Sus scrofa: one gene and its partners. The protein of the gene in region 1 binds, or shares a complex with, the protein of each later gene. Links are inferred from orthologs where the notes say so. Each region holds a gene or a part of one and is shown on either strand. Other genes may lie near its edges.

Region 1 (3,974 bases):
TACTCCAGACCCTTCCTCTTACGGTGCAACCGCTATTATAGAAAAAGCCCGAAGCCTCATTGCATTGGAAAGGGGCATGCGCTCTAACGACGAAGATCGCGGCACCTGCGGCTAGGGCCCCACGATAACGATAAAGCCACGTCAACCTGAGACTTTGAGGAGGGGGAGGCGGGGAATAAGGGCTCCCCTGTCCCCGTCCGGCCTCACCCGCATCTCCCGGCCCAGAGGCAGCTCCTCAGTCTGGCGGTGCCAGCCGCTCCAAATGGTATAGAACACCGAGGCCACCGCCAGCGCCAGCAACAGCAGGGGCAACAGCTGCGCCCGCGGTAGCAGGCGGCGCTTGGGCGGTGAGGGTGGCTCCAAAAGGCCGCGTTCCCCAAGCCGTAGCCGGGGCCGCCCGCGGCCCCCTGAACGCATGGCAGCTTCGCCCTGAAACCGGTCGGGGACTGCGGATGGAGTTTAGGCCAGCCAAGTCCCACCCCATGGAATCACCGGACCAATAAGCAACAAGAGCGGCTGCACCAACCCACCCTTCAGCAAGCAGTAAAGCCAATGGGGACTTTCGTACTGAGGACACGCCTCCCTGTCTCCCTGAAGCTTAAGGGTTGGTTCCCCTGAGGGTTGCACAACCCAAAAGGGAGCGCGAAAGAGGTAGGCACCGCCTCAGCGGAAGAGGGGAAGCCAATGAGAAGCATTTGATCCTAGAAAACAGCCGACCTCCTGGGCGCGGGTCCACGCCCCTCCCGGATGTAAGCAAAGGATTGGTTATTCCAAGTCCAAAGGATTAACAAACACATAAACGGACGGTCCCCTAAGTAGAAGAGGAGGTATCCATCCCTGAAGCGAGGAGCCGATTGGCTTCGTGGATGCCGCGCCCCCGAAGGCAGGGCCGGCGGGCATTTGGAAATGGCTTGTCCTTTCCCTCCTTCAACCTGTGCGGTTCTACAACGAAATGGTTTGAATAAGTCCTGCTTTCTCTTCCTCTCCATCGTCAATATCTGCCCGGTACAGTCCTGAATGGCCTCAAAGTAGTACGTAAGAGTTTTACCCTACAGCCGCCTGTGGCGAGCAGAGATCGCTATGGCAACAGGCCACGCCCCACCCACTAGCTGTGTTTGCGCAAGCGCCCACGGAAGTGGGCCTCAGGAAGCGGAAGTCCCGCCCTTCTCGCTCCTTTCAGAGGGCGAAGAAGCAACGCGGAGACGGTGGTGACTGGAGTGCGCGGTCGCGACAACTACTGCCACCGCCATGTGAGGCCGGGCTAGGCTTAGGTGGCAGGAGTGGGTTGAGGGTGTAAATCTGGCCACTTGCCGGTGGAAGGGGGTGGGCAGAGCCTGGGGCGGAAGCAAACATTTTCGGGGTAAAGTGGCGTACGTTACCGATGAGTTTGAGAACAGATGTGGGGCCTTTTTCGGATCCTGACTTTAGGAGCAGGAGCAGCTTTATCAGATAACGGGCTGGGCTTTCCCAAATAATTAGTCTTACTGAAGCGAATGTTAAGGGGAAGCGATGTACGAAAATGGAACCTGGGAGAGGGGAGTACGGACATGTGGGGAAGAACGATTTGAAGTGAGGATCTTATCAGGGTAATTTGAGCTGGAGACGGTTAGCCTTTTGACCTTATTCGTCGTTATCATGGGTCTCGAGTTATCGGAAGGATTTTACTTACGTATTCATGCAACAATTATTTATTGAGTGTTCATATGTCAGGCTTCTTTAGACACAGAATATGTTAGTGAATTACCCCACTCCCCCAAGGGAAAAAATTCCATTTTGCATTTTATGGGTTGGGTTGAGCCAGGCAATAAATGTAAAGGTAAAATATATGGTGTGTTAGGTGACCGGGGCTATGAATGAAGAAACAGTAGAGCAGGGTAAAACAATGTGGAATGCCAGTTTTGAGAGACAGGACACATGAAGAAGGGAGCAACTGGAGCAGAAAGCTGGAGAAAGTGAGCGCACAAAGATATTTAGGGACGTATCCAGGTAAAGGGGGAAAAGCAAATGCAGAAGCCTAAGAAGAAAGTTGCTGAAAATCTTCCAAGACACCCCTCTGGATGGAACGGAGTGAGAGAAGGCAGCGGATAAAGGGTTTTTACTTTCTACATTGAGATAGGAGCCTCAAGAGAGTTTCGCAGAGTGAGATGATATGACTTGGACCTTGGCACCAACCAGAGACTGCTCTGTGAAGAGCAAACTTGGAGAGCATGGGTGGAGGTAGGGAGACCATTACGGCTCTAGGAGAGAGTCGATGGAGGTTAAGCCATGGTGAGAAGTGGTCAGATTCCGATATATTTGAGAGGCAGGGATGATGGGATTTGCCAGCAGATTGAATGTAGGATGTGAGAGTAAGAAGAGTCAAGTTGACGTTAGAGGTTTTGCTCAAAGACATAGCAAGATGGAGTTGCCATGGATGGAGACGAAGGCAGCTGTAGGTAGATTAAGTTTGGGGGTACCGCGGGGCCTGGTGTTCAGCCTAGGACGTGCAAGCTTGGAACTGTCTATTAGGCAGCTGTGTGGTGATGCTAAGAGAGAGGACTGAGCCGGAGGGTGGGTGTGTTGGGGAGACAGTGAGCGAGAGGGCATGACCACCCAGGCTCTGGCTCCAGGCCCTGTCACCTATGAGTTCCATACTTGCCCACTCAGGAGCCTCCTCAACAAGCCCAAGAGTGAGATGACGCCAGAGGAGCTGCAGAAGCGGGAGGAGGAGGAGTTTAACACGGGGCCGCTGTCCGTGCTCACACAGTCGGTCAAGAACAACACCCAAGTGCTCATCAACTGCCGCAACAACAAGAAGCTCCTGGGCCGCGTGAAGGCCTTTGACAGGTGAGCACCTGGGTCTGGGGAGGTGGTCTGTCCTGGCCTGGAGAAGCAGTCCCAGCTCTAGTCTGAGGAGCCTGGATTCTAGGTTTCTTAGAAGCCTGGGGCATAAGCGTCTGAAGGTGGGGTTCCTGTCATGTCTCAGTGGTTAACGAACCCAACCAGTATCCATGAGGACACAGGTTCGATCCTTGGCCTTCCTCAGTGGGTTAAGGATCCGGCATTGCAGTGAGCTGTGGTGTAGGTCGCAGGTGTGGCTCAGATCCCATGTCTGTGGTTGTGGTGTAGGCCGGCAGCGGTAGCTCCGATTTGAACCCTAGCCTGGGAACCTCCATATGCTTCCGGTGTGGGCTTAAAAAAAAGAGTGCCTGTTGTGACGGTCTCTGTTGTTCCTCCAGCTGTAAAGTTCAGCCATGGACTTGGGGGCCAGTCCTGGAATGATGTCCTGGCTCTGCCTCTTAGCAGCCGTGTGACATTCAGCAAGGGACCATATATCTCTTCCCTACAATGGCCGTAATCTTGATGGTTGCAAAGATTCAGTCACTTAATATATGTGAAGCACAGTCAGTCCTTAGGAGTAGCGCCCCCGGCACACGGTCTTCCTCATCAGTTTTCTCAGTTCGTGCACAGTGGCCTCTGCCCTTGTGGGGTACTGTCTTAGGCTCCAGAGATGCCATGGTGACTGAATCATACATGCCTCCTGTACTCAGGGGAGTCTACAGCAAACACATAATGTGTCAGGAAGACAAGTGATGGCAAAGTCTGTGCAGAAGAGTAGAGCCAGCTGAGAGTTTGGAGTGTGGAGAGGGAGTGCTGCTGTCCTCGGTGGGTCATGCAGGAGGCCTTCTAGGTGGACAGATGGGGATAAAACGAAGGTGCAACCTAGGGTCTGCATGTTTCAGCCATGGGGAGCAGCAAGTGATTTTTCCTCTCTGGGCCTCAGTTTCCTTATCTGCAAAATACTATGCATAGAATAATACCCCTCAGAACAGTCGTAAGGGTCAAATGATTTTCTGTAGGAAGAGCACTTAACTCAGTACCTAACATGTGGCAAAGGCTCAGTAAACATATGATCGGCAGGAGTTCCCTTTGTGGCTCAGCGGTAAATGATCCCTACTAGCATTCATGAGGGCGCAGGTTCGATCCCTGGCCTT
Region 2 (4,126 bases), on another chromosome or scaffold:
CAGCAGCTGCAGCTCCAATTTGACCCCTAGCCTGGGAACTTCCATATGCTGCACATGTGTCCCTAAACCAAGAAAACAAAACAAAACAAAACAAAAAAAACCCACAAAAAAATCCGACTACATCGGCTAGGGTCCTTACAGAGGTGTGAGTCTGATCTTCAGCTTGGTACAGGAGATTAAAGGATCTAGCTCAGATTGAATCCCTAGCCTGGGAACTTCCATTTGTCACAGGTGCAGCCATTTCAAAAAAAAAAAAGCACCTTTCAGACATTAAGAACGTTAAAGATCAACTTTATTGAGATGGAAGATATCCACAACATAGTGTCAGGTGAAAAAGCAAGTTTTACAATTGCACAGAGTATGACCCTGTTCTTAATTAAACAACAACAACAAAAAAGGATGAGGGGCAGGCAGAAAGGGATTTAAGTTCTGGCTTTGTCCTTTACTAGTTGTATAGACTTAACCAAGTTTCCTAACCTAGTCAAGCTTCAGTTTCCTCATGTAAAACAGCAACAACAGTATATGTCATGTAGAGGTGTTCAGAGAATTAAATGAGTTAATAAATGAGTATTCAGAGTAGTGCTTAGTCTATAGGAGAGCCTCAAATGTTAGCTTTTGTTTTCCCCTTCAGAACACATTAGGCACCTACTCTATACCAGGGCTGTGCTAGACACAGGTACACAGTGGGCGCTTAAACACATCTTGGCCCTATAGAAGACCAGCCCTAAACAGTAAATACATTTCTATGAAATCACAGTTTGAGAAGCACCCACTAGAAAGGAAAGACTCTATATGATAGAAGTGTCTATGGCCTAGAAGAACCAGGAAAGTGCAAGGATACAGCATTTAATCCACGTCCTAAAAGATGATTTGAAGTTAATGATACAAGGGGACGAGGGATGTAAAAACAGTACAGACACAAGGGACTGCACTGGTCATCTGTTTATCTTTTATACTGTCTACAACAAAAGGGCAATTATACCACATAGATGATTCTGCAACAGCTTTCCATATTAATACAACTCATTTCCATGTGGCAGCTGCCTTTAATGGAAATACCAAAATCTAACCCATTCCCTATTTTTTTTTTTTTTTGGTCTTTTTTTGCTATTTCTTTGGGCTGCTCCCGCAGCATATGGAGGTTCCCAGGCTAGGGGTCCAATTGGAGTTGTAGCCACTGGCCTACACCAGAGCCACAGCAACTCGGGATCCGAGCCACGTCTGCAACCTACACCACAGCTCACGGCAACGCCGGATCGTTAACCCACTGAGCAAGGGCAAGGACCAAACCCGCAACCTCATGGTTCTTAGTCAGATTCGTTAACCACTGCTCCACGACGGGAACTCCCCATTCCCTATTTTATTTTATTTTTTTGGCTGTGCCTGTGGCATGTGAAAAGTCCCAGGCCAGGGATGGAACCCGTGCCACAGCAATGACAACGCCACATCCTCAACCTGCTGCACCACAAGGGTACTCCATAACCCATTCCCTATTAATGGCTCCCCTCCACCAATTTTTGACTATTAAAACAAACAAACAAAAAAAAAACTACCAAAATTTTTGTACATAAATCTTTACTTCTGGAGTCAATACTTACATTTCTAGAATTTGGGTCAAAGGACCATGTGATTTCATCAGAAAAAACTTTTATTAAAAAAAAGTGATTGATGCCTCTGCCCCCTGACTTCTTTCTAGTACTTACATTTTTCTTTGGATCTTCTTCCCATAAAGATAAAACTCTGCAGCTAATCTGTCAGTTTAAGGCACAAGTCATTTCTTTCGTTTGTCTCTCTCCCATCTTGCCCAGCCCTCAAATACTTGTCAAATTAAAGAGGTTGTTCCGGAGGGCTGGGCACATCCACCCCCTACAGACTTGTCGGAACAGGTACCTACCTCAGGTCATTCTTGAGTTCCACGACCACATCCTTGCCCACAAGGGACTTGAAAAAGGAATAGAAGAGCTATTGGGCGAGAGGGGGAAAAAACATCATATGGGAAGGGACTTGGGCAGAGGCGTGTTCCCCGGCCAGTATTATGAGATACTGGTCCTGGGGATCCCCGCCGCATCTCTCTGGCAGTTCTCAAAACTTAAGAGGAAAGAATACTCGGAAAAACGGCTGGAGCCCCGGTGATTACTACCTCGAGCGCCTGACCTAAAGCCCGGGAGAGAGGCTCTGGCCCGCACGCCTCGGGCTCGGCTCTCAGTGGACCACCTCTCCCGGCGTCCTGCCCCCACTACCCAGTGAAGGGTACCAAGTGTAACACCCGCACCCTCTCGGGGCCTGGTCTGTCAGGGAAGTGCTCCTTGAGGTCTAGCTTTTCCCTCTCCTGCTGTTCCCGCCGACTCAAACAAATAAGACCCATTCGTTTTGAGGTCTCTCCCCAACGAACCTGATTTGCAGGAAGTAAGGAGGGAGAGAAAAATCCCAGGGCCCAACGTCAGCCCAAAGGAACAAAGCTCCCGGAGGGCCCCCCCGCCCCGCCGCCGCCCCGCGACCCCGTCTCCGTCCCCAACCATCCCAACGGTCGCGCTCCCCGAGGGCGCCCCCTTGTGACATCACGGTACCTACCATTGTGCTTGCACCGCGGGATGCCCGCCTGACCGGGAAGGCGAGGGCCGGGTACCGCGGTCCGGAGGCCGGGCGGGAACCGGAGCACAAGGCCGCGCGCGAGGCGGGGCGGGGTTGCGCAGGGGCGGCGGGAAGCGCCGCGGAAAGCTCAGGGTGACGGAGGAGAGCGGACCGTGCGCTCCGGCTACAAGCAGAGCGGGCGGGGTAGGACCGAGGGGACGCGAAAGCCAGGGAAGGGGCGGGGCTTCCCGCCTTCCGACTTCCTCCCCAAGCGGCCGGCTCCCACTGCGCAGGCTCGGGCTCTGACGGCTCCCCCGGCTTTCAAGTTTTCTTCCTTTTAAAAATAGTGTGGTTCCAGCATGATTTGCTCATACCCTGAAGACACTTACTATTGCAAACTGGGCGTTTGTGAAAACCCATGATGATTTGTACACTTTTCTATGTCTCTTACACTTTGATAAAAGTAAAAATGTTTGAGTTCCCAAGATCAGGAACCTGCACACAAATCCGATTTTGTCAAAGGTTCCCGATAAACTTATTTCTCCTGAGAACCCAACCTCAGTCCACATTTCTTTTACGCTTTTGCCTAGGGCTTTCCTGTAAGGGGCTGAGTAAAGCAAAACCGACTGACTCAGGGATAGAAATACCCATTCTGATATTTCACTTCCAAACATTGCCCTCTCAAACACAAAGGGACACAAATTCACAGTTACATGTATTTCTATACTCATGTCCCCAAAGCATTATCAGTATGCGATGACGCAAAAGGTGAAATTTTTTTTTCAAGGAATGAGATCCAAATAAATTCTCCATTTTCTCCTTTTTCTTTTTTGGTCTTTTTAGGGCCGCACCCACAGCATATGGAGGTTCCCCGGCTAGGGGTCCAATGGAGCTATAGCTGCCGGCCTAGGACAGAGCCACAGCAACACAGGATCCTAGCCGCGTCTACGACCTACACTACAACTCATCTCATGGCAATAATGGATTCTCAACCCACTGAGCGAGGCCAAGGATTGAACCCACAACCTTATGGTTCCTAGTCGGATTTGTTTCTGCTGTGCCACGATGGGAACTCCTAAATTCTCTGTTTCTAATCTTGCAAAAAAGCATCCATCTGGGAGTTCCCATTGTGGCACAGTGTAAATTAACCTATTATCCATGAGGATGCAGGTTCAATGCCTCACTCTGAGTCAGGGATCCGGTATTGCCATGAGCTGTGGTGTAGGATGCAGAGGGTGGCTCAGATCCCTTGTGGCTGTGGCTGTGGCCTAGGCTGGCAGCTACAGCTCTGCTTGGACCCCTAGCCTGGGAATTTTCATATGCCACAGGTGCAGCCCTAAAAAGCAAAACAAACAAACAAACAAACAAACAAAACAAAACAAAACAAAAAACCTCACTACCCATTTGTTAGGAGTTTGTTGTAGAAATATTTTCAGCATGTAAAGGATGTAATAAGGGACCCTGTGAGTGACAGACCCCACTGATAAGTAACACCAGGACATCAAGCAGAAGTTTGTACCTCTGAACCCTAAGCACCTAAATCAGTCTATCCCTG
Region 3 (4,149 bases), on another chromosome or scaffold:
TAATTAATGATTGTGAAGGTGAAAACATTTAAATGATTTGTTCAAGAATATAAAAACCAGGTGAGGAAAGGGGGATTTAAATAATAACTCTAGGAGTTCCCATCATGGCGCAGTGGTTAACGAATCCGACTAGGAACCATGAGGTTGTGGGTTCGATCCCTGGCCTCGCTCAGTGGGTCAAGGATCCGGTGTTGCTGTGAGCTGTGGTGTAGGTTTGCAGATGCGGCTTGAATCCCATATTGCTGTGGCTCTGGCACAGGCCAACAGCGACAGCTGCGATTAGACCCTAGACTGGGAACCTCCACATGCCTTGGAGCAGCCCAAGAAAAGGCAAAAAGACAAAAAACAAACAAACAAAAAATAATAATAATAACTCTAGTTAGGCTGAACCAAATCAGTTACTATGATATACTCATTGCTTAAAAATCATTCAATTATCTCTATTTCCTGACTACCAAATTAGGAACCCTGACATGTCACTAAGAAAACTAAGGAGATGAAGTTATTAAATTGTTGTGGGGGGGAATGTCCAGTATTCTTTAATATTTAATAGATGAAATATGCTGTATGCTTAACAACATTTTACAAATAATGTAAAAGCTAAAACATTATTCACAGGAAGTATCTGATTTAATTTCTATGTTCTAAAAGGAAAAATACCTGTGGTATTCCTTGCACCATCTTTCCATGTATCTGGAGTGATAACAGTACCAAGTTTCTTTTCACCTGTTATAACAAGATAACAAAAGTGGGGGGGGGTTAGCATTACTATCTAATAAATACACTACATTGTGCCTTAAGTTTACAATGGTATTAATATTCATATTACATACAAATCTGTTATTGCTGAGGCTTGGGGCCAGTGAACTGAGACTTATGATACTAATTGTGGGCCATGGATAACTGACTCTCAGTCAAATCTGTGGATAATAGTATGGCCTATAATAGGCTTGTTTCTGTACATTAATGCTTTAAACAAATCTGATAAATCTGTTCATTTACTAAATATCAGTGATATATAAACCATTGTACAAAGTACAGAGAAAAATAAAATGAATTAGATAAGGCTCTAGATTTCAAGGAGTTTACATCATACTGATTTATCTCTAACAACAGTTCTTAACCTGAGTTTTCACATGTGGACCTTAGGAAATACATGAACAAGATGAAACTGAACACAAACCTCTGTATATCCATTTTTTTTTTAATAGACTCTGTTAAGTCCACAGCTTTTGTCACATTCTCAAAGGGCTCCGAGAACAACAACAAAAGTTTAGCATTATTCAACTGAAAGTAAACAGTATGTTAAGAGCTGAAGTACTAAGATACATTCCATGGAGGAAGAAATAACCTTGACTAGGGAAATCCAGGAAAGCTTTGTGAAGAAGGCAGTAGAGAGGGTTTGTGGTAATGAGACCATGAAGAAAAAGGAGAAAGGAGGATGAAGGTAAACTGGATAAAGGACACATCCTGATAAAAGGCGTGGAGAACTCGAGGTACATGCAGTCAGGCAAAATAGTTTGGCTTGGCTGAACTGTAAAGATGGTAAGGGTTAGTGAAAATAAAGTTAAAAAGGTAAGATGTGGCCTCATTGTAGAGGGTCATCCTGAATGCCAGTCTCCAGATACAGAAATCCCAAATTATTCTCTGCACCTTGAGAATGTATTAAAGTAACTGTCATGGTCATTCTTTCACCTAATCTGAAAACTGTGATTCAAATTCTGTGTTCAAAGCTATAAGGCTTTATATACTGTGGGGGGGGGGTAAACGAAATGGATCAAGTTAATTAGATGATAATCAAACTGACGATAATCAAATTAAGAGGACATGTTTAGACTCAGGAAAACGGGAATAAGACTGCTCTTTTTAAATACACAACCAGTTTGTGGGAGCAAAAATATCAAATCTCAGAGGGTGGTATTAGAATTACTGGACGGCAACTAGAAGAAGGAAAGACCTTTCTAAAAGCCAGTAAAATCAACACGGACTGCTTCCAAGGTGGTGAGATTCTCCTACACACCGGCCACCATTCCTCAATACTCTGGGTATTCGTTCAAGGACCATTTAAGCACTCACAGCATGTGGAAGTTCCTGGGCCAGGTATGGAACCCTGCGCCAAAAGTTAGATTTAAATTTCAAATAAACAATGAATACTTTTTCAGTAGACAATGTCCTAAAAGTAAGTGCCTTGCTTTACAGCAGTAAGGAGCAGCAAACAGAGCCAAATCTCAAATATTGCATAGGACGCACACTAAAAATTATTCTTGGTTTACCTGAAATTCAAATTTAACTGGGCGTCCAGTACTTTTATTTGCTAAACCTAGCAACTCCAGTTGCTGTGGAAGCGACTTTTAAGATCCATTTCAACCTGAAGCTCTGAAATGAGGGAGCCAGTCAAGAAGCTCAGGGGTTGAACGAAAACAATGGAAACAGACAAGGAGGTGCAAAACAGACAAGGAGACCACCCTGAATGCAACAAACGGAGGACTATACGGTCGATGGAGAGGCAGGAATGGTCAAAGGGCAGGACAGAACAGAGGCTAGAATCAGAGACTTGTGGCCAAAGTAAAAACAAAGGAATAAAGTCCCGGGGAACTCCAGTTAGGTTGTCCCAGCCTTCTTCTCCCGCAGAAGAGTTTCCTTAACTCACATTTTTCGCACACCATCCTTTCGCGACGATTCCCTCAGTCGCAGTAGGATCGGGAGCTGGAAACCATCAACACCACAGCTGAGAAAACACTCCCCTTCCGGGTTATGAAAGTCCACTTCCGGATCCTCCGCCCCGCCTATTCTACACCTGGAAAGCCGCGGGAGGAATAAAGGAGAGCGGGAAGGCGGGGCTTCCTTCTTGGCCCACCTCTCCACTTCTGCGATTGGTTGTGAGGCCTTCGGTCTCCGCCCTGCTGGCCTGCGCCTGCGCGAGACTCAGGGCGGCGAGTTGCACCTGATGGTGGGAGGTAGTAGCCCTCCCGTTCTCTTCCGCGAGCGGGAGAGTTAGGTAAGCCCAGCCGGACGCTCCCGGCGCACGAGCCTCCAGCGGCTGCAAGCCACCCCCGCCAATTGCCCAACTGATCGGAAATCTCTGCTACCAATAGGCCCTTGCCCGCGGGCCCCTCGAGCGCCGCCCTTCCGGCGTGACCCAGGGGCTGCCCCGATGAACTGGCTCTTTTTCAGTTCCGACTTTCTGTGTTTGTCCCGCCGTTTCTCTTGGTCTTTACGCCTGTGCTCTTTGATTATGCTTCTCAGCTTGTCCCTTTCTGCCCACAGTCGGCTGGGGCTTGGGCAGAGTCCGCAGCGACCCAGTTTGGGATGGGGCTGGAGATTACGGTCCCACGATTCCCGCGAAGGCGCCTCCAGGAGCCTTTCAGAATGGCCCTCTCTTCCGCTGCAAGGCTTGAGGATCTGGGCCAGGTCAGACCACGGGCACCTGGGCAATAGCTGCCCCAGGGGGCACCTGGCGGAAGTCCTCCTGAGCTCTCCAAGGCCTAATATAAGGCTGGTTTCTCAGGAAGGGCAACTCTGCACCTACTCTTCGTTCATTCACTCATTCACGCAGCATTAAGTTTGTGTATTGCTCACTGTCTTATGTACAAATCTGCTCCTGTCAATTGGGATTTTGAGGGTGGCCCAGAAGAAGATAGGACCGGTGAGAAAGATTTCCTTTCTCCTTTCTTGCCATTCATACCTCCTAGTATATATCTATATCATCAAAAAGGTTAGCTAGGGTTTGAAATGGCTTTAGCACTTGGGACCTTGGTAGCTTGCAATGTTTACTAATCTCTGCTAGTCTTTTTCCTTATCAGTAATGTATTTTCTTTTGAAAAATATAGTGTGAATAAATGAGAGTGTTAGGATAAGGCCTGGATTTGCCCTTTTACCCTTTTATATATACGCACACGTACACATATATGTGTGTGTATATATATGGGGTTTTATTCTGGACTAGTCACCACAGTGTGACACGTGGACTCCTTACTTAACATTAGTCAATACTACATATAAGCTCTCTGTTAGATAATTTGTAAATACATGCATACATAAAATAGATATATAGAGATGGGAGAGAGAGAAAGTAAAATTTTTTTTCCCTTTTCATGAAGCTCTTCTTTTCATTGGAATCTAGCGTCTGACATTGCCATTTTGGTATTT
Region 4 (4,242 bases), on another chromosome or scaffold:
TTTGATCCCTGGCCTTGCTCAATGGGTTGGAGATCTGGCACTGTGAGCTGTGGTGTATATCGCAGACACAGCTGTGGTGTATATCGCAGATCCCGCCTTGCTGTGCCAGCAACTGTAGCTCCGATTCAACCCCTAGCCTAGGAACTTCTATGTGCCGCAGTGTGGCCCTAAAAAGCAAAAAAATAAATAAAAAGCAAAGTCCAGGTTTTGCCAAGTGTATATACATCTTATACTTAGGGAATAAGAATTTCTGCTTGTGGACAGCATGACTCTACTGATCCAGTGCCTACTCTTAGAGCCTTTCTTTCCCTCTCCCTAGTCTTAATAGGTTTCAAGTCATCCATACCTATCCAGACTCCCTTTAACCAATACTGGATCCAGCTGGTTGGCCTGAGGTACACAATCTGTGGTTATGAAATAGAGATTTTTCTCTATGTTAAATGGCTCTTGAGCGTTAGCTCATACTTATTTTAGCCTTTTTGGCACAATGTGTTCCTATAATGGGATTCATATTTAAGAAATTAATAAAATATTGAAATTGTAACATTCAATAATGGAGGAAATATTGAATATATAACAATCAATGAGAATGGTATTCATTCAACAAATAATTTTTAAACATCTGTGACTGGCCAGGAATTACTACAATAAATAAGCACTTCAGTGCCCAGGGAAAATGATAAATACTTACTGAGATTTTACCACATCCCAGGCAGTGACCAAAGTGCTTAAGTGCTTCTCTTGAATTAACACAACAACCCTCTGATGAAACTGAAGCCTAGAGAGATTTATAACTTGGCCATTCTCACATTAGCTTTTGGAGCTAAGATTCAAATCCAGATGTCACACTGCATGACCTACTGTACCAGGTGGAGTGAGAGATGCAAAACTCCTTAAAATACACAATGAGAAAATATCCCTAACCATGAGGAGCTGACAAATTGGTTAGGGTAGTGAGATTATATATAACGGCAACCTGAGAACAACACACGATGACATTAACCCAAGTGATTTATGGCAGAAAGACTACAAGGGCTATCTGTAGCACAGAAAAGAAAATATGAATTCTAACAGCCAAGAGAAGATGGGTCTTGGAGCCTATCAATAAGAATAGGAGTCAACATAAAAAGAGCCAAGGCCCCAAGTAGAAAGGAAGAAGAGGGTTAAATTGGGGATTTGGGATTAACAGCTACACACTACTATATGTAAAACAGATAAACAACAAGGACCTACTGGTTAGCACAGGGAACTCTATTCAATATCCTGCAATAACTTATAAAGGAAAATAATTTGAAAAGGAATGTGTGTGTGTATACACACACAAATAGGTATATGTGTGTGTGTGTGTATAACTGAAACACTTTGCTGTACACCTGAAAGGTTGTAAATCAACACTTTCATTTTTTAAAATGAGGGAAAAAAGAGATAGGGCATTTCGTACTTAATTGTTGGAGAAAATTTTATGTTATATAGAAGGAGATTCAATTACACAGGTCCATAAAATAAGAGATCCAATACCTAATGTTTACTGCCTTCTGAATAGAAGGCACTGTGCTAAGCCCTATACATGGATCCATGTCATCCTCACACAACCTCCGTAAGTAGGTCCTTTTACCATACTGGTGTCTAAAGAATAAGAAAACAGTCTTAATGGGGTCAAGTAACCTGTCCATGGTCATGATGTTAGTAAACAGTGAAACTTGAAAATTTACTCCCAAACCAATTTTTAATCTACCATACTACACACACAAAAAAATTGTTAAGCATGGGAATGACGTGATAGAAAGAGTTTGGTAGGGCTAACATTTAAAAAGACTAGAAGAATACAGGGTCATGTTAGTTACTGGGTAATTCAGAAATGAATGAGGGAGGCCAAATGTAGGCAACGGGAATGGAGAAAATGAGACACTGTTTAACTTGCATATTACCTTGCACTTTGTAAATTGAGAAATTTAATAAGATAAACTTCTGTAAAGTCTTCTGCTGGGTATTCATCTAGAGCATTATACTGTTCAATTGCACCATACAAAGCAAATCGCTCAACTAATTCCTTCATGGCTCCGACTGCAGGAACTCCTTGTATTAATAAGTACCGAGATTCCAAATTGATCGTGTAAACCTATAAGAAATCAGACACATTAAATGTATTTCACAAAGAAGCCTGGGACAAATCTAATCCTATATTTTTTTAAAGTTGAAAAAAACACCTTTCGACTGGTTTGCATAAAAACAGGAAATCTAAAAACTTGCCCCTCTCTCTACATAATGAATAGTTTACCCTTCTTGCAAAGGCCTTTAGCTAAAGCACGTAACATTATCTTCCATCAATGTGTTTTCCACAAATTAGCTCGGTAGAAGTTACAGGGACGAGTTAACAAGTATTCGCTGAGCGTTTACCATGTAACAAGGACCACTGTAAACACGGAAGATACAGTGACTGAAACACAGCCCTCTTCTCACGGAGCTGAGGTTCTAGCAGTAGACTAAAGAGCACTCAAGCATCTTTGGTACTTGAGTACCAGCGTTTTTCATATTCTTCTTCAGTTAATCGATGTGACCGCAGCCTCTCAAGATGTTATTTACGTAAGCTGGGCATGTGAAGCTGGAACTCACAGAAAGCTACCGGGGATAGCGATTGAAACCAAAGTCACTTTACCCTGACAGCGCGAGGGCGGCGCCCCTCTCGATACTTGGCCCGCGAGTCGCATACAGCCCTTTGGACGTGGTGATCGAATAAGCCTCCTAGCTGCCCGCCGCTCAACGCCATCTTGCCGGTGTTATCCCTCGCGAACGACAACATCCGCCCCGTTGCCCCACCGTTTACCCAATAAGAGAGAGGGGTGAGTTAAGGCGTTCCGAGATTGGCTGAAGAATCGACACCGTCGGCCATCGTTTCCTGTGAGCGAGGATTTGGTGAAGAACGTGTCGCCCCCCAGCGGCGCGGCGGAAAGGCCCTGAGAACAGGCGCAGGCGTGCTGGCCCCTCCCGCTCCGGATGCGCCGCGGGGCCTTAGGGGGCGGGGCCGATCGATCGTCTCCGGGTCCGACGCCCGCGACCTGCGGGGTTGGCCCGGGAAAGATAGGTTGGGCGGCTGGGGGTCGGTGCCTGCAGACAATGTGGGGCGGCGATCGCCTGGCGGGTGCTGGCGGAGGCGGGGCGGCCGTGACGGTGGCCTTCACCAACGCTCGCGACTGCTTCCTCCACTTGCCGCGGCGCCTTGTGGCCCAGCTACACCTGCTGCAGGTAAGGCGCCCGCTTGGTGCCGGGCTCTCACCACCGACTTGGGACAGCTGCTGGCCAGTCTGCGGTCGGCCGAGACCCAGGCCTTTTAGGGACGCAGCGGCCGCTCAGGCCTCTCCCGGCGGCGGGATTAGGGCTGCTTTCCCAGCCCCGCCGACCGGTTCAGAGGCCACACTGAGGACCCCTTGCGGGCAGGGCTGGCCTGGGCGCTCTTGACAGCCACATCACGTCTAGTGCAGCACGGCTTCTTTGAGTTGACCTGCTGTATTCCAGGTCTTTTACTCGCCGGAACTGGGCTTTGAAACGCCCCGATATTCTCCCTCTTCGTTCAACTATTCCTCACTCCAGGTTGGAAAAGCTCTTGAGAAGTCGGGTTTGTTTGTCTTTTGGGATTCTGTTCTGTTTTGTTTCATTATTAGAAAACGTTTTTCCTGCCAGCGATTTCCAGGTGCTTGCATGGCTGTGGTCCCGGCCTTCAGAAAGAGGGGCGGACTTGGTTTGTGAAGTCTCTATTGGTTAACAGAGGTGGAGCCCTGTGTCCCACGAGCGGGATAGATTAATATGAACCTTCTTCCTGTGTCTCCAAACACCTCCGGGGTGCTCCAGGAATGTGCTGTGGGAGTATGCATACTTGGTCATAGGTAGTTAGAATTCCTTGAACCTCTGTTTTCACTTGCGCTCTGCACCTTGTGGTTGTGGCGGTTCATAGCTCTAACACTTGCATGGTTACAGAGATGCAACATCTGTATTTTCCTAATTGTAAAGTGGAGACACCTGGTTTACGAGTTTGAGCGTGCTTGCTTAAGGGGCTAAAAGGATAGGCTGTTTGAAATCTTCGAAAATCCTGAATGCATAGTACCCACTGGTTTGCAGTAATTTCAACAGTTTGCAATAATTTCAAATATCTCCCTTTTCCATTTTAGCTACTTCTCTGTAACTCCTTTTCTAGAGTATTTTCCCCTATCTTTCATAGCACATTAATTTCAACAGATCCTGCCATTA
Region 5 (2,556 bases), on another chromosome or scaffold:
CCAGTCCCAAGGGAGCAGCAGGCGTGTCTGTTGCCACTCGTCCTTCCGGTGGTGGTTCTTTCCCTGCCTTGGTAGCTCCCCCCGTGCGGACCTCCCCCGAGAGCTTGGGGGATTCCTCTTCTCCAGTTCTCTGTCCTGGGATCTCTGATCGCCTTAGTCTCCCTGCATTTTCAGCTTCATCCCTTCAACTCCTGGTGTCCTCTGGGCTCTGTAGCAGTTCCCCCGCCTCCGTCTGTGGCCTGGACACTCGGTGCAGTAGGTGCGCAGTGGAAGGAATCGCCTCGCGTGTTTCCTGCATCTCAGGAATCACGGTCCTTTGTTGTTTCACGTCCAATGACGTGAAAACCACTGTTTCATCTATTTCGCCCATTTTTTGACTGTTTCAGGTGGGAGGGTAAATCTGATCCCTGTTACTTCTTGTCTGGAAACAGAAGTCTCAAGTTATGCATATTCAAGCAAGAAAAAGGACGACGGGTCCTGTGGCTGGAATGTAGCGAGCGGGGATTAAGTAGGGGACCAAGTCTGACGCCCTTAGACCCGGGTAAAGTGGGTTTATTCAGACAGTGATTGGAAGCCTGAGGGGGTCTGGAACAAAGGAGCGACAGGATCTGAATTCTCTTTCTCGGTGTCTGTCTGGCTGCTTTGTGGAAATAAATTTTCACTTCTTCCTGGGCGAGGTAGGGAAGAACCCATGGTCTGGGTTGATATTAGATTTGTTTTTGCATTCAAGTAGAATTTTTCTTTTCTTTTTTCTTTGGCTGCACTTTTGGTTATGCAGAAGTTTCCAGAGTTCCCAGGCCAGGGATTGAACCTGCACCACAGCAGTGACAACGTCGGCTCCTCACCCCACGAGGCCGCTGGGGAACTCCTCAAGTAGGATGCTTGAAATAGGTGGCACTTTTCACTCTCATGGGTCTTTGGGACCTGTAGAGGCAGCGTGGGCACCATTGTTCCCTGGGTGTCTTGGATTTTCTCCAGGAGCTCGGTGGGGGTGCTGCCTGTGTTCCTTTTGTTTTCCCTTCTGGAGACCCTGTCTTCCCTGCCTTTATGGGCCTGACGCCTTTGTCCTTTGCAGAAGTGAGACACCGCAGCTCTTCACTGTGTTGCCGGAGAAGAGAACAGCCACCGTTGGAGGGGCCATGATGGGATCGACCCACATCTATGACATGTCCACGGTGGGCACTCAGAGGACGCTGCTCTGGGGGTTCGGAAAGCGTGGGAGCGAGGGCTTCTCTTGGAGTGTCTCTTTGGAGGTGACAGGGCTCTGATTCCTTTTCCAGGTTATGAGCCGGAAGGGCCCAGCCCCCGAGCTGCAAGGTGTGGAAGTGGCCCTGGCACCCGAAGAGTTGGAGCTGGATCCCATGGCCATGACCCAGAAGTATGAGGAGCACGTGCGGGAGCAGCAGGCCCAAGTGGAGAAAGAGGACTTCAGCGACATGGTGGCTGAGCATGCTGCCAAGCAGAAGGTGGGCGCTCACTCCCCGGGAGGCTGGCTATGGGAGCGCCAGGGAGCAGGGCCTCCTTTGTCAGCGCAGTGGTGTCCTCTAGTGGTGAGGGAGCGAGAGGACACACTGCCTGCTGCCCTGAGCTTCCCAGATGCTGGAAACCTTGGAGATCCTCCCTCGGGCCACCCTCTTGAAGGAAGATGCAGCTGAGGTGCAGGGAGGGAGAGGGACTCACTCGGGTTTGAGCATCCAGTCGCAGTGCTTTTTCTGCAGACCTGTGTGCTTGTGTCGGGCACCCTTGTTTGGGGAGCAGCAGGTTGTTTAACCTGTTGTAACCTGTTCCTCTTTCTCTCCTACAGCAAAAGAAACGGAAAGCTCAGCCCCAGGACAGCCGTGGGGGCAGCAAGAAATATAAGGAGTTCAAATTTTAGGTCCCCTCACACGCCCGGCCCTCCTTTAGGCCCTTTGCCGGACACCTGGGCTTCGCACATGGATACCCAAGAGCCAGCTCTCCTGTTACTCCCCAGGGCTTGTCCTTTCAGGTTCATGTTCTTATTTTAGACCTGTTTTGTAAATAAAGCTGTTTCCCAAGGAAAGAGATGAACATTTAACGCTCCTGATCCTCCTCTGTCTTCTTTTAGTGCCTTCCTGCCAAAGAATTAACAGGAGTTCCCGTCATGGCTCAGTGGTAATGAACCTGATCAGTATCCATGAGGATGCGGGTTCCATCCCTGTCCTTGCTCAGTGGGTCAAGGATCCGGCGTTGCCGTGAGCTATGGTGTAGGTCACGGATGTGGCTTGGATTCTGAGTGGCTGTGGCTGTGGCTGTAGCTGGCAGCTGTAGCTCTGATTCCACCCCTAGCCTGGGAATCGCCATATGCCATGGGTGTGGTCCTGGAAAAAAAAAAAAAAATCATTTTCTACAACAAGTTGCTCCAGTGATGACGGGGCAGGCACCGGATCAGGTGTGGCAGTTGAGACTGGTGCTGAAGCTAAATCTGAGATTGTGTGTTTTACCACTGCCTGCTTTGTAGGAAGGCTCTGGGGGAAGGACTTTTAGGTCTGGTTTGACCTTACCACTGTGTCCTTGGGGACTAAAAATAGCCAGCTT
Region 6 (4,011 bases), on another chromosome or scaffold:
TCAAAGTACTGCCATCAGAAGGGCACCACGTCAAGAAATGGCTTCAATATTTATTAGCAAGTAAGTACAGTAATTAAGTCCTTTAATCTTATCTTTCCCATTTTATGGATGACAAAGCTATCATCAAAACCTTCTTACCTCACAGGGTAGCTGCTATAAATGCAATCAAAGAAGATACCTCCCCCAAGAAGAATGGCAAATAACTACCATATATAAGTGGAAGATTTACATATGGTATCCAAACCACATGGTATGCAAACTGCAAAGCAATGGGCAAACAAGTAGGGATGAGTTACTAGCGACCCTGAACCTAATGGTTCTACTGAACATTGTGCTACTTCTCTTAAACAGGCCCCGAGATATGGGAGAAAACGGTTTATGGGGTTGGGAAACAAAGGACAAAATTAAATATTCCAAATGGCTCTTACCTATGCCCACATCCCTGGTATCTGGAACAGTGCCTGGCATTCACTAAGCTCTCAGTAACTGCTGAATGAGAACTTCAAAAAGACCCTCAATCACCAGCTTTCTGTCCTCCAAGACACAGGCTCAAGCTCCCCCCAATAGGCTCATGTGCAAAGCAGGATACCTGGCAGTTCATGTTGTCCTCGGCTTCAATGAGCTTCCCTCGGTACACCTCTCCCGTGTTCGTCTCACAGGTCACAATGTGCCCCTCAGCCTCATGTAGGACTTTAATCGGCACACCAATAGACATCTCGGCAGGAAGAGAATTCTACAGAGAGAGAGAGAGAGAGAGAGAGATAAGAGTTCATGGTTCAGGGCCTGAGAGGCATGTGGCACAAGCCTCACTCAAGGCTGGACACTCTGTAACACTCAGCAAAAATGCCAAAGGCGTGTTTTTTTTTTTAACTTTATTTTTTTTGCTTTTTAGGGCTGCGCCCCCAGCATATGGAAGTTCCCAGGCTAGGGGTTGAATAGAGGCTACAGCTGCTGGGTTATGCCACAGCCACAGCAACACAGGATCTGAGGCACATCTGCGATTACACAGCTCACAGCAATGCCAGACCCTTAACCCACTGAGCAAGGCCAGGGGGCAAACCCACATTCTCATGGATCCTAGTCAAGTTCGTTAACCACTGAGCCAGGAAGGGAACTCCCAAAGGAACTTGAAAAAGTAGCTTAACCCCAGCTTGAAGAACATATCTAGCAAACAAGATGCAAGATTGGGTGGGGAGGAACAGGGGGGCTAGACAGAGGGAAAGCTAACAGGAATGAAAAGACTGCCTCTCATCTCCCTGCTACCACAGGTCCCTTTATCTTTATCAAATAACTATGTTGCAGCAGAGGGGGTTGGAAGGCAGGTGTACTTGTTAACCCAAAGCAGTGGGTAACATCACCTTGAGAACGTAGGACGTAGACCTGAGCTGTCCAAAACAGTAACCACTGCAAGTTCTGAAATTGAATAAAATTAAAATGAAATAAGGAGCTCCAGCTGTGGCGCAATGTGGTCTGAGGCATTTCTGGAGCCCTGGGACACTGGTTCGATCCTTGGCCCACCATAGTGGGTTGCTGCAGCTTCGAGGAAGGTGGAAACCATGGCTTGGATCTGATCCGTGGCCAGGGAACGCCATATACCTCAGGGTGGCAAAAAAAAAAAAAAAAAAAAAAGAACGAAAATTAAAATCAAGAAGAGTCCATGCATTTAATTCAACCCAGTAAGTGCTCTTTGACTCTCCATTTACTTCACCATCAAAGTTAAAGAGAAAATATCAAAGTATTCACAAAGTGATAATGTGCTACACACAGGAAATGCTTATCTTGGAGAAAAAAGGGAATCAAGGCAAGCCTGACTTGACCTTAAAAGAGGAAAGCTGTCGGTTTTTAAATTCCAAAATGGTCAGCTGAAAGGTGGAATACATCTCCTGCATAAAGAGAAAAAGGAAGAGCAGTGAAAGAGACAGGCGCCCTTCGTGAGAAGCCTCAGAAGTGTAGATTTTATGCTGAACGCAATGGGAGAACCACGGCAGGACTATAGGGAAGGAATTATCCCTGGGAAAGGCAGCAGCACTTACAAAATGGTTCGAACACAGCTTAGATGCAGGGAAACTTGAAAGAAGCTTGTGTAACGGTGTAGAAAGCATGAGGGGGCGGATGGAGGCAGGGAAGCAAAGGACTTGGGAAGGAAGCAACTAGCCAGAAACGACCTCAAGACCATTGCCTGGATGCTTCGAAAAACACTGGCCTGGGGAGGTATGGAAACTGAAGGAAAAGCTAACGACCTCACTTCCAAGCGCTAGTGAGGCGACACTGTCTGGTGGCCCGGCTTCCCGCTCCTGTCCCTCGGCGAGCCCCGCGGAGCTCCTCGGCAGCGCGTCCTTCTCCAACCCTCTACTCCTCCGAGTGCCTCGGCCTCCCCACGCCCGCCCCCAGCCTCCCCTCACCGCCTGAGGTCTCCTCCTCCTTCCCGGTGCGGCCGCGACTCTGCCGACTGCGAAGCGTGAGACAAGCGAATGGCGGGTCCCGCGCTCCCAGAATACCACGCGTTCCCAAAATGCCTCGCGCAGGGCCCGCCCTCTTCCTTTTCCCAGTGGTGAGCGCGGTCTCGTCCTCGCTTCCACCTCACCCCACCGGCTGGGAAACTCGGTCTGTGGTTCAAGAGTTCCGGCCCCGGAAGACTGATGACTGGACCCAGGTGCCGCCGGAAACACCGACCCTCGGGCCGGCAAGGGCAGAGAGGGACTCGCTTTTCCAAACACCTCACACCGGCGACGGGCTGGACGGCGAGGCGGGGATCGGGGGAGGCAGCGGTGGGGCCGAGGGCCAGGACCTCCCCTCACAATTTAACCTTCGGAACCCGGCAGTGCCAGGTAAAGGGACCCCTGAGCGGAGAGGGAGACAGGAGCAGAGCGGGTGCCGGCCCTCGGCCGTCCCTCCAAAGAGAGTCGAGGTGGGGCTGGGTCTCCCGGCCCCGAGGCTGGCGGAGGAGTAGGACCTGGCAGAGGCGGAGCTTGCCGGGGGCTCTGGGGAGCCCGCGTTCGTGGAACTCCCGGGCCTGGGCGGGGCTTCCGGGGAGCGGGGCGGGAAGGGCTGCGCGTCCGCGCCAGGCCTCGGAGGTCGGGGCGGCAACCCTGGGAGCTGACACTTTGAGCGGCCGGGACCAGCGGAGACAGGAGCCTGGGAGCCTGAGGGCTTGAGGGCCAGAGGAGGCGGGGGCGGGCCGGGGCGGGGCCCAGGGCGGACGGGGCGGGCCAAGGCCTGGAAGGGCCGGGGCGGGGCTTGGGGCGGCCCAGCTGCCGCCTCCCCTTCTCCCCACCGTGCTGGCAGTGGCGGTGGCGGCCCAGGAACCCGGGGACTAGCGGCCCCGCTCCCGCCCCAGACGAGGCCGAAGCTGCAGCCGGCGCCGGGCCGGGGCCATGGGAGCCCCGCGCCGCCCACGTCATGAGGACGGAGGGGGAGGCATCGGGGCCGCCGCTCGAGCCCGGTCAGTGCTCCCTGAGGGCTTAGCCCTCATCCAGGGGAACAGGGGGGCCCACCCTAGCAGCGGTCAGGGTCCGGCCGCGTGACCTTGGACCGACGGCCGCCATGTCCTAGGCTGTAGAGCTTTGAGTGAAGTCTGGCCAGGTGTACACCCCGCCTTGGCTCCCGCAGCGCCAACCGCGGTCTGCTGGGGTTTCCTGATACTCCCAGGGCTGGAACCCCAGGCAGCTCTGATGGCGGTCTTGGTGGGAGGGTCCTGGTTGAGAGGCTGGGGCGGCAGCTTCCCCAGAAGCGAAAAGTCCTGCTGAAGCTGCCGTGAGAGATCCTGTCCCCTCGGGGAACTGAGGCCTAGAAGGGCAGGGAACTGGCAGGGAGCATAGAGCAATGGGGGAGGCCCCCCCCCCCGGCCTCCCAGACTCAGTGTTTTGTCTTGCTAGAGTTCTTCACTCTAGTTCCTTATGTCCCAGGTGGCCTGTGTTCCCTTGCAGGCAGAAACCAAAACTCAGGTTGTGTGTGAACCTCGGTTTGCTTTGCTAAATTGGGGAGGGAGAGAGCAGTAATTCCTGCTCTGGT
Region 7 (4,197 bases), about 30 Mb from region 1:
GTTTTCCAACGGGCTCACTCTGGTGCATTTAGAACAGATGCTGATCCGCAAGGGTAGAAGCAGGGAAACCAGATAGGAGGCTAGGGCAGAAGTTCAGGCCAAAGATGATGGTGCTTTGAACCTAGACGATAGCAGAGTGGGTTTCTTGATGGTTTGGCAGTGAGATGTGGGAGGAAGAGGAGTCCAGCTTTTTTTTTTTCTTTTTTAGGGCCACACCTTTGGCATACGGAAGTTCTCAGGCTAGGGTTCGAATGGGAGCTACAGCCGCAGGCCTATGCCACAACCACAGCAACAGGAGATCCTTACCCTCCTGTGCAAGGACAGGGATCGAATCCGTGTCATCATGGATACTAGTAGGGATTTGTTACCAATGAGCCACAATGGGAACTCCAAGAGGAATCGAGATTAACAACCAAGGCTTGTATCTTAAACAAAAGGAAAGATACTGCCATCAACTGAGGTAGGGAAGACTTTGGGAGGGACAGGTCGGGTTTTTGGCCTGGTGGAGGGTGGAGGGAGGGAGTTCCAGGCAGAACAGGAGAAACGAGGAGCCCAGTTCCTACTTATGTTACGTTCGTGACGTCTGTCCAAGCGGAAACATTGAACAGGACGTTGCCAATACATGTTCGAAGCTCAGAGGAGAGGCCTTGAGCTGGAAACCTATGAAGTTGTTGGCAGAATTGGTATTTGAAGCCAAGAGAGTGAATACATTGTGAACAAAAATCAGGAAAGGGAGGCAAGTGTGTGTTGGGGGGGGTGTGTGTGTGTGGTTACGTTACAAAAGATGGCTAGAGAAGGGTCACATGTTCCCTTTCAGAGAAAAAGAGAGTGCATAAAGGAAAGGAGGCAGAAGGCATCCGGTTGCAGGCCCTCGCAGCCAGAGCTGGGCCGGTGAGGCACACGTGAGCTCCGAAAGTCCCGAAGCCTGAAGGCCGGCTTCCTTTCCGTCAGACTCTGCCCGGGGGCCCCGGCTCTCATCAGCTTCCTGCCGGTTCCGAAACTCATCTAACGGACATTTCCAGCTTCTCCCCAAAGCTAAGGAGTTGTAGCGGAAGTCGAGGGTGCGGGACCAAAACGCAGATTTCATTCATAGTACAGAGCTCGACTACTTCAGGGCCGACCTCGATAACTGGAAACTCGTAAAAGCAACACAATCACAACTTTTCTAACGAAAGCGGAGGCCGCAGGCTTCTCCTCTGCGCAAGAGCGGCCTCACAAGCGTCACCCTGAGGTAACAGCCTTTCTCCACAAGCTCTCCATGGAGCCCCCCCCCGGGGGGGGGCAGAAAGCCGCCCCCACTACGGGTCGAAGGAAGGGTCAATTCACGCTGAGCGAACAAGGCTGGTTAAGCGCCACAAAAGGTTTTGCAGGGCGGGGCGACCGGACGACACTCTCTTGCTCGCTCCCATTGGCTGTGGTCGCGAGGCTCTCCTCAAGGACTGGCCACTGGAGAAGCTCGGAGTCCGGTAGCAGCCCGCCTCCCGGAACGCGCGTGCGCACACTTGGCGAGCGCTCTCCACACTGAGCAAGCGCGGCCTCGTGTCCGCTGGAAGGGCGGGTGGAGCAGCGCGAGCTGCGTCCCGGCGCTCGGCTTTCCCTGCCGGTCCCGCCCTCCGTCGCGGTGGCGCGGTGCACCTTGGGATAGGGAGCGATCTCCGAGCGAGGCAGCAAGATGGACGCGGGATTCTTCCGCGTAAGTAGGAGCGCGGGGATCTGGGGTGAGGTGAGGGGCTTATCGAAAAGGCCCAGCAGGAGGCCTAAACTCGAGATGGGGTGGCCAGCGAGCGGAGACTTCGAAGATCCTGAGGATCCTCGTTGCCAGTGGACGCTTCCCCACTACCCTGCGGCGGGGACCGGTGCGCCCCTGCGCAGTCTCCTCCTCCGGGATCGTCCCCCCTACGCGGCAGCGACGGTCGCCGGAAAATGGCGGCGGGAATGGGCCTGAGCGGTACCTTCCCGCCCGCCTCCCTGGCAGGGCCTGCAGGGAGAGCCGCGCGCCCCACCGGGTCCTGGGGCCTAGCGGACCCGCGAGGAGGAAGTCCCTGGGGGGAGGCCGGAGGGAAACCCTGAGGTGACTGGCGGCAGGAGGGCCCTGGGGAGGACAGGTTTGGGGGTACCGCCTCAGGAGAGCGGGTGAGAGGACCGGAAGCAGCCTTGAGCCGCTTTTCTTGAGAAAGCGGGCACCAAACCCCCTCCCCCCGCGCCTCGCGCGCCCTCCCTCTTGGTCTAAGCCTTCCCGAAGGCTCCGGGTCAGAGTTCGCGGGAGCTCCCGCCCAATTTGATAGCCCTTCAGGGAGGGGAATGCAGATAATTTGTAGTTAGAACGTTTGAGTCTGAGACTCCAGGCAGAGGGTGCAACAAAAAGTATGCGCGTTTGTGGAGGCAGGGGTATGGAGTGGATCTACTCTTCGTTCCCGCTCACCGCCCCCCACCCCCTGTGAACGTTCTCTTGAAAATCTTTTTGGTGAAAAGGTTCCTCTTGATTCTCGCCCATCACCTGGAGATGGGGACGTTTTCTCGTCGTAGTTGGCCCTCAGGGCCCATACTTTTACCGGGCGCGTGCTGGACTCTTTTGGTCCCCTTTTACACTCCCGTAGGACCCATTCGAGATCTCGATGGGTGGGAAGTGACACTGATTGGACTAGAGTTTGCAAATTCTTTTTAAGGCAGAACGGACCATATAGAGACCAGTTGATTTAAGTCAGAATCTGTAGTGCATATTGGCTCTTTCCATTCCCTGGAGCATGTTACATGCAGTTTCTGTGTGTTTAAAGGAAAAGATAAAAGAGGGTAAGACCGGGACTTTAAGATATGTCTTGACACTCCAAAGCTAGCATTGAAATGCCTTTTGTCTTGGCTTTAAATGTGCCAACTAGTTTTTCATTAAAGGTTGAAGTGTTATTCCAAGAATTTGATACAGCCGGTTGTTTGATTGTTCTTAGGTTATGCAAACAGTACTATAGTTATTTATGTAATGATCGTTTCCAGTGAGTTTATATCAAATTTTCACACTGCAGATGAACTCTCCATTTTGTGATTTCCATCAAAGTTTTTTTGTGGTAAATACTCAACATATCCTGTAGTCTGAATGTATTCTTTTGAAACAAGTCTGTTCTTTTAATTTTTTCTTGTTATTGTCACTTTCCCTCGGAAGAGAGTTCCAACAGAAAAAGAACAAAGTGGCTGTTTTAAGAATGAGATTTGCTTTTAGTGTTGGTAAAAATCTGGAAGGAAAGGGCAGTGTTTTATATATTGCCTTGGGTTCTTAGAGAAGTTGATTAGATTTGAGCTCTGAATTAAAGATTTTAGGGCAGTTATTCTTTTAGTACACTTCCATCGAGTAATAGACTGAATTTTTCAGTTAAGATGGAAATAGTACCTTTCATTTGCTGAACTTCTGCCACACACCAGTTACTTTATGTATATCGTTTCGGATATTCTCAGCCTTGGGAGGTAGGTTTTAGCAAGTTAGGGAAAGTTTCTCAGACAGGTTAAGTAACTTGCTTTGAGGTCATGTGGTTTACATAGTGACAGAGTTGGGATTCTAATCAGGTTCTTTACTTTCTTAAAAGAATTTTCTCGATCACTTTCCAAAGGATTAGTGGCCAACTCTGAGAACTGATCAGTAGATTTCTTTTTTTTGATGGGCAAGAAGTGGGTTAAGATAAAAAGCGCTTGCGAGAGATACAGGCTGGCAGGCAAGGAGGCTCTCCCAATCAGTAGATTTCATATCACATTGTATATCCGGGTTTAATTGGGTCAGTAGGAATGACAAAATGCAGTCTGGTGGTTACTTGATGGTCTGGTATGTTTGTAAGCTCTCACTTTTTTCCAGTTTGTTTGCAGAAATTGAGTTTATATGGTAGACCTTTATTTTTTATGCACTCTGAGTTCTTCAAGTTGTGAAAACTTAACATACAGTCTTAGGTTCTTCCTTTTTCTGTGTTTATATGCATTGCCACAATAATTTTGTAAGATGATCCTGGCTTTCAGAAGAGGATGAAATGGTCTCGTTTGTAAAGTATAGAAAGTGCTCTCTTTTGAACAAACAAAAAAACCCCTTAAATGCTTTATTAGCATAGAAAGGGGTGTAAAAAGATACATAGCAAACTTGGTTGTGAGGGGGGTGTTTTATGTTGTATTCTATATTGCTGGACTTAATACAATGAATGTATGTTTTGTGTTTTTTAAATACAA

What was found.
Region 2: SNRPD2 (region 1) and LSM2 share a complex: the UniProt entries of both Homo sapiens proteins name them as parts of the U4/U6-U5 tri-snRNP complex. The link is inferred for Sus scrofa from reciprocal best matches to the Homo sapiens genes SNRPD2 and LSM2.
Region 3: SNRPD2 (region 1) and CRIPT share a complex: the UniProt entries of both Homo sapiens proteins name them as parts of the minor spliceosome. The link is inferred for Sus scrofa from reciprocal best matches to the Homo sapiens genes SNRPD2 and CRIPT.
Region 4: SNRPD2 (region 1) and RBM48 share a complex: the UniProt entries of both Homo sapiens proteins name them as parts of the minor spliceosome. The link is inferred for Sus scrofa from reciprocal best matches to the Homo sapiens genes SNRPD2 and RBM48.
Region 5: SNRPD2 (region 1) and SF3B2 share a complex: the UniProt entries of both Homo sapiens proteins name them as parts of the minor spliceosome. The link is inferred for Sus scrofa from reciprocal best matches to the Homo sapiens genes SNRPD2 and SF3B2.
Region 6: SNRPD2 (region 1) and SNRPD3 share a complex: the UniProt entries of both Homo sapiens proteins name them as parts of the SMN-Sm complex. The link is inferred for Sus scrofa from reciprocal best matches to the Homo sapiens genes SNRPD2 and SNRPD3.
Region 7: SNRPD2 (region 1) and SRRM1 share a complex: the UniProt entries of both Homo sapiens proteins name them as parts of the minor spliceosome. The link is inferred for Sus scrofa from reciprocal best matches to the Homo sapiens genes SNRPD2 and SRRM1.

Annotation. Positions count from the first base shown.
Region 1 is NC_010448.4:52,039,675-52,043,648, reverse strand, and holds the start of SNRPD2 (small nuclear ribonucleoprotein Sm D2), read left to right. Parts: upstream 1-1,174; 5' UTR 1,175-1,248; coding exon 1,249-1,250; exon of another isoform or gene 1,251-2,149; coding exon of another isoform or gene 2,150-2,217; intron 2,218-2,646; coding exon 2,647-2,826; intron 2,827-3,974. Other genes in the region: QPCTL (glutaminyl-peptide cyclotransferase-like protein), read right to left, coding at 208-417. UniProt on the Homo sapiens protein: Plays a role in pre-mRNA splicing as a core component of the spliceosomal U1, U2, U4 and U5 small nuclear ribonucleoproteins (snRNPs), the building blocks of the spliceosome.
Region 2 is NC_010449.5:23,905,724-23,909,849, forward strand, and holds the start of LSM2 (U6 snRNA-associated Sm-like protein LSm2), read right to left. Parts: upstream 2,801-4,126; 5' UTR 2,575-2,800; coding exon 2,572-2,574; intron 1,963-2,571; coding exon 1,895-1,962; intron 1-1,894. UniProt on the Homo sapiens protein: Plays a role in pre-mRNA splicing as component of the U4/U6-U5 tri-snRNP complex that is involved in spliceosome assembly, and as component of the precatalytic spliceosome (spliceosome B complex).
Region 3 is NC_010445.4:93,923,117-93,927,265, forward strand, and holds the start of CRIPT (cysteine-rich PDZ-binding protein), read right to left. Parts: upstream 2,801-4,149; 5' UTR 2,667-2,800; coding exon 2,651-2,666; intron 727-2,650; coding exon 661-726; intron 1-660. UniProt on the Homo sapiens protein: As a component of the minor spliceosome, involved in the splicing of U12-type introns in pre-mRNAs. Involved in the cytoskeletal anchoring of DLG4 in excitatory synapses.
Region 4 is NC_010451.4:72,443,369-72,447,610, reverse strand, and holds the start of RBM48 (RNA-binding protein 48), read right to left. Parts: upstream 2,801-4,242; coding exon 2,657-2,800; intron 2,120-2,656; coding exon 1,929-2,119; intron 1-1,928. Other genes in the region: PEX1 (peroxisome biogenesis factor 1), read left to right, coding at 2,995-3,243. UniProt on the Homo sapiens protein: As a component of the minor spliceosome, involved in the splicing of U12-type introns in pre-mRNAs.
Region 5 is NC_010444.4:6,278,539-6,281,094, reverse strand, and holds the end of SF3B2 (splicing factor 3B subunit 2), read left to right. Parts: intron 1-1,075; coding exon 1,076-1,175; intron 1,176-1,280; coding exon 1,281-1,466; intron 1,467-1,804; coding exon 1,805-1,876; 3' UTR 1,877-2,056; downstream 2,057-2,556. UniProt on the Homo sapiens protein: Component of the 17S U2 SnRNP complex of the spliceosome, a large ribonucleoprotein complex that removes introns from transcribed pre-mRNAs.
Region 6 is NC_010456.5:49,584,276-49,588,286, reverse strand, and holds the start of SNRPD3 (small nuclear ribonucleoprotein Sm D3), read right to left. Parts: upstream 2,801-4,011; 5' UTR 2,403-2,800; intron 2,370-2,402; exon of another isoform or gene 2,241-2,369; intron 1,414-2,240; exon of another isoform or gene 1,359-1,413; intron 734-1,358; 5' UTR 716-733; coding exon 590-715; intron 1-589. Other genes in the region: protein GUCD1, read left to right, coding at 3,400-3,442. UniProt on the Homo sapiens protein: Plays a role in pre-mRNA splicing as a core component of the spliceosomal U1, U2, U4 and U5 small nuclear ribonucleoproteins (snRNPs), the building blocks of the spliceosome.
Region 7 is NC_010448.4:82,307,795-82,311,991, forward strand, and holds the start of SRRM1 (serine/arginine repetitive matrix protein 1), read left to right. Parts: upstream 1-1,397; 5' UTR 1,398-1,672; coding exon 1,673-1,693; intron 1,694-1,728; exon of another isoform or gene 1,729-2,071; intron 2,072-4,197. UniProt on the Homo sapiens protein: Part of pre- and post-splicing multiprotein mRNP complexes. As a component of the minor spliceosome, involved in the splicing of U12-type introns in pre-mRNAs. Involved in numerous pre-mRNA processing events.